2 linked regions of the Xenopus tropicalis genome follow. The protein of the gene in region 1 interacts with the protein of each later gene in a pairwise test. Links are inferred from orthologs where the notes say so. Each region holds a gene or a part of one and is shown on either strand. Other genes may lie near its edges.

Evidence for each region.
Region 2: the proteins of topbp1 (region 1) and cip2a interact in a two-hybrid assay, tested with the Homo sapiens proteins (2 studies listed by BioGRID). The link is inferred for Xenopus tropicalis from reciprocal best matches to the Homo sapiens genes TOPBP1 and CIP2A.

Annotation. Positions count from the first base shown.
Region 1 is NC_030682.2:52,620,773-52,623,551, reverse strand, and holds the end of topbp1 (DNA topoisomerase 2-binding protein 1), read right to left. Parts: intron 2,733-2,779; coding exon 2,571-2,732; intron 1,674-2,570; coding exon 1,539-1,673; 3' UTR 677-1,538; downstream 1-676. UniProt on the Homo sapiens protein: Scaffold protein that acts as a key protein-protein adapter in DNA replication and DNA repair. Composed of multiple BRCT domains, which specifically recognize and bind phosphorylated proteins, bringing proteins together into functional combinations.
Region 2 is NC_030678.2:103,666,314-103,668,959, reverse strand, and holds part of cip2a (protein CIP2A), read left to right. Parts: intron 1-158; coding exon 159-272; intron 273-1,527; coding exon 1,528-1,610; intron 1,611-2,407; coding exon 2,408-2,547; intron 2,548-2,646.

The sequences.
Region 1 (2,779 bases):
TACATTATGCACAAGAATCCCTCAGCTGGCTTTGACCCCAATCAAGAGGTTTGATTTCATGCTGACAAAATCAGTCATTCATGTACAGGTATGGGATCCAGAATGCTCGAGACCTGAGGTCTTCCGAATAAGGGGATCTTTCTGTAGTTTGCATCTCCATGCTTTAAGTTTACTAAAAATCATTTAAACATTAAATAAACCCAATAGGATTGTTTTCCATCCAATAAGGATTAATTATATTTTAGCTGGGATCAAGTACAGGTACTGTTTTATTATTACAGAGAAAAGGAAAATTATTTCCTAAAATTAGAATCATTTGTTTAAAATGGAGCCTAAGGGAGATGGCCTTGCCGTAATTTAGAACTTTCTGGATAATGGGTTTCTGGATAACGGATCCCATACCTGTACTAAATGTACAGAGCAGGAGTTGGGCAAAACTATTGGCTAAAGGGATAATACTGATAGGCAGTGAATACATCTGAGGTGGAATCTCTTTCCCCTAAGTGAATGACACCAACCAATATGATTCAGAAATTGCAGAGGTCTCAGAATAGCCTATATGTGTTGAAACATAAAAAGCTCTTCTGCTCTTGGGTTATTAGATAACAATTTGAGTGCCCCTTCTGAACAATATAATTCCTGACATATCACAACATATAATTCACAACACTTGAAATCGATTATATTCATATTTACTGAGGTTAGATTATAACCAAACCATTGTGTACCCTCCAAACTGCTCAAATGGATCAGAGAGAAACCAGATGGTACATAGATATAAAATAATGGGCAACATCAAGTCAGTAAGGTTTCTCCCCAATGTTAATAAATATACCCATTCCCCTTCTAGAGCAGAGCAACATCAGAACACTTTTCGGTTTTTCTTTTGAATTTCTCACTGACTGTACAGTTACAGGAACTGACCAACAAGTGGCGCTGTTGTTAAAAAATTCATATATTAGCAGCTCTGAATCTGCAAAAATAACAAATATTGCAAAAGTTCTTAGGAAAGCACCAAACAATTTTTCATGACATATTTTAAGATTTACATATTCTTTAACAGATGTTACTGATATTTCGGGTATGTAAAAGTATGATTTCATTTTCCTACATCATATTCAAGATGGATGAGGTAGTTTTTGTGTTTAAATTTATTGTGTTGAACATATACAAACAGTAATATACATACAAATGTGCATGTAATTTAATATTGCTGGTCCCCTGCAACTTGGTCAGGAGTAATAAGGGAACTACAATATCAATATAAGTAGAAAGAGTTGCTTTTTATACAGGTGTACAAATAAATGGGCCGCAACAGTACACAATGAATATGGATGGCATGCAACATATGCCACATTGTATAAAAAAACCACATTGCATGTTATTTGTATACATTTCTACAAATTATCTGAAATATAAAATCTATTCCCATATAAATAAACAGACATGACAAAGAATATACCATTTTGTTACAAAAGAACAGTGCAACATAGCTGGTATTGCTAAGCTGCTGCCTTTAGCTCTTACTTCTCACTCTCTCAGTAAAGCCGTGATCTCTTAACATCAGAGATGTCTCCAGAGTTTTTCCTTTTGCGAGAAAGCCCAGTCACTGTGATCTGAAGATATGGCAGAGCATCAGGGAGGCAGTAATTGTTGACTGGTGGAGGAGGCTCCTATAACCAGAAATATTGGTCTGTTACTTCTACTCACATCAATTATTAACAAAAGGAGTATTTGATTTCATGTATTATCTTTATTGCATCTGACCCTTATAGCATAACAAATGATATAACTAAAAGAAAGGAGGACATTCCAGCACAGATCTGTGTGGGAATAATTACTCGATATTTTGCTTGCTTATAGTTGGTGAGGCAAAATGCAACACATACAAGAGAATATAGACTGTGGTGGACTTTTTCTTAGGCTAAAACAACATGAATCAGAGCATCAGCCAGAAGCCAAAACAACGAGGCCTTCACTGGAACTGCTCCCAGTTGCAATATCCCACTGTGAGCAGCATAAATATATGGATATGTATTTATGTAAGTATAATTTTATTTATATAGGGCTACTTCTATATGCATGTTTCTAAAGTTACCAGCAGACTGTGATATACTGGAAATATATGGATGTGCAGACCAAGACAGCATGCACACACCCAGGTATAGTGGGTTACAGGGGAATTATGTGGTTGGCAGTGCCTTCAAGTAATGCTTGTTTGTTTGGACCACTGGCAATGTCAGCAAGGTACTCCCGCTCAGAGAGAAGGCTTTATAATGCTTAATGGTTGCAGTAGCCTATTGTAGGTAACATGTGCCCTTTAATAAACGATAAGGAATCAGAAGAGGGATAACCGGTAAAGAAACAATGTTGAAAAATACAATCAAAATTGACTTCAATTACATAAAATTTAGCGGCAGAAGGTAGAATTAAGGTTAATAAAGTTAGTAAAATAAATTAAAAAGAAATCTCAGAATGTTGCACAAGAATACCGATATCAGTTCTAATGTTTTTCATTGTTTAGTAAAAATGTGATTCAGCTGCGACTGCAATTTATACACTAAACAAACCTTCATGAGGTAGTCGGCAATATACTCTGGCTTTAGGCAGTTTACTCCTTGTGCTGCAGCCTCGGCCACATTCACCTTGGGCTCATCAGGTTTCAGTTTGCTGAAGTCAGCAAAGAGGTGGTTGGCTTCTTTAAACAGAGCAGAAGAATGGCCAGCAAATACCTATAAATATACATACAAAAATGATATATTTGATACATCCCTAATCA
Region 2 (2,646 bases), on another chromosome or scaffold:
CATGTGTATTATGGAGAACAAATTTGCACTCTACCCAAATATTACCCTAATTGGTGGTCCATCTCACTCTGGTAGGCTCTAACACATTATCAATTTTTTTTTTTTTTTGTTATAAAGTACATAAAAAAATCTAGGACAGTTCTGTTTTTGCCTTGTAGATATGAGTTGTGTGAGAAACAATACAAAGAATTACAAGCATCATATAATCTGTTAACTAAACAAGCTGAAACAATGAAAAAGCTGAATGATTCACTAAAAACACAGAATGAACAGTAAGTAATTTGTATTTTTTTTTCTTCACTCACTGTGGGTCCCAGAATAATTTCCATGATCTGTGAAACAGCACAGCAGGAGTCTGAAATTTGAAAGGTCCAAAAACACTTTTTTCAAAACATAATTATTAAAGGAGAAGGAAAGTCATTTTGGCATTTTACTGCCTAGAGCAATATATTTATTCTGCAGAAACCATTACCATACTTGGGTAACTGTTTTAGAAGCTTTCTCCTTTGCTTAAGATATCAGTTGCCATTTTAAGTAGCTTTCTTCCTGCAGTCTAGATGTTATAGCTCAGATCACACATTCCTAAGGGACAAGAGAAGAAATCCTGTGTTTCTTTTGATAGAGTGCAGCATTACTGTATGTATGTATAACTTTATTTATAAAGCGCCACAAGGGTACGCAGCGCTGTACAATCTTACAAAATTACAAATAGGGAGGACGAGTGTTATAATAAATAAATACAATAAATATATATAAATGCACAGGGAATAAGTGCCATGTGGTATGAGACACAGTAGGAAGGAGGTCCCTGCCCCATAGAGCTTACAATCTAAGCGGTTGGGTAACATACAGGCACAAATTGGAAGGTAAGAGTGCACCAGGTATGGGCACTTGCCCTTAAGCGCAGGACTGGGCAAAATAGTGTTTTAGTGCTCCAGATTGTAACAGCTGAGCTTTTTCTTAGAGAGTGGGTGAGTTTTCCCTACGGAGGGATTCAGGGATAGAGTTCCAGAGGTAAGGAGCAGCGAGATAGAAAGGTTTAAGACGAGAGAGCGCAGTGGGTGTGGATGGTGTAAAAAGACGGAGGCTCTGAGAGGAGCGGAGGAGACGACCAGGAACATGCAGGGAGACCAGTGAGGAAATGTAGTGAGGAGCAGAGGAGTGAAGGGCTTTGAATGTTAGCAGAAGGATTTTGTAAGCTATCCTTTGCTTAAGTGGGGCTGAACAGGTTCCCTCTTTGGAGAGAGCAGGAGGATCCTGGCAGCAGAGTTTAAGATTGATTGCAGGGGAGAGAGGTGGGAGTCTGGGAGGCTGTAAGTGCTTATGGCTGTATTTACATAGACCTTTCTGATAAAACTTACTTAGTTTTTACCTTTGCTTCTCCTTTAAATCTCCTGCAGTCTGGAAACATACACGTATGACAGCTTTTGTTAAATGAATGTATTTTACTTAAAATGGTCTCTGCATTAAAGTGTACAAAACTTTGCTAATGTGTATCTAACTAAGCAGCAACTGTTGATATTTCAGGACTATCTCACAACTTAATGAACTAGAAAACCAACATAAAGATTTAAATAAGCAACTGCAGGACAGAGATAGTAAAATAAAAAGTAAGTGATTTTCTGTTTGATAAAATATTGCAAATTCTGTTGTATTTGCTGGACAATCCTTTTTAAAGGACAATGAAAGGTTCATATAAATTAAAAGTCTAAAGGCATTCTTTTTAAGTACTTACTGCATATCTTAATTCCCAGATCCCTGCTTGCTTCTCTGAGATATGGTGCTGGCAGCCTACAGCAGTGTGAAGACTACAGTGACATCACTGAAATCTCTCTCCCCTTCCTGTAGGCTGCCAGCGGCAGCCTTCCTATTCTCTGAGCATGTGTGTAACTTGATCCTGTCTGCTGTTCTGAGCTACACATGCCCATCAGCCAATCAGAAGCGGATCTGGCAGAGGGGAGGGGGGGGGAATGAAACACATGTGCAGTATGAAGCAAGCAGGGAAAGGAAGGGAGAATACCTTTTTAGAGATGGCTGCCTGTTCTAGAAAATGTGAAGTAAGTGTGACTGAGTAAATATTTGATTAGGTGAGCCAAAAGTGTGGCGTTTTTACTAAACAATAGGAGGACTATTGGGCAGTATGCATTTTAAATTTTGACTTGCATTCTCATTTAAAGAATGCAGGCACAGGCTATGCAACCACTTGCGTATATATAATGATTTTGGAAAGAAAAGGGGAATGCAGTATATACAATAAGAGTTAAAGGCTATTTCACGAACACCCAGTTTCAGGTCAGGGAGTATTAAACTCAGCTTTATTAGAGACCATGCTTAACTATATATTCTGCTGACATAGATCTTCATTGTCTTTCTGACTATTTTTGTGCAATGAAAACTGTTTTCTTAGATTTGCAGCAAAAACTAAAATCATTAGAGGAAAAGATGAAAACAAAACAAAAGGAGAAAGAAGAAATGGAAGAAACTATAGATGTTCTTCGCAAAGAATTAAGTAAAACTGAACAAGCACGGAAGGAATTAAGCATTAAGGTAGGATTTTGAACAATTAAATGGATGTTTCCCAATATTATGAATGGTACAGTTTAACAGGAGTACTATTATTTTGACATGTTTTCTTGAAATAGGTTA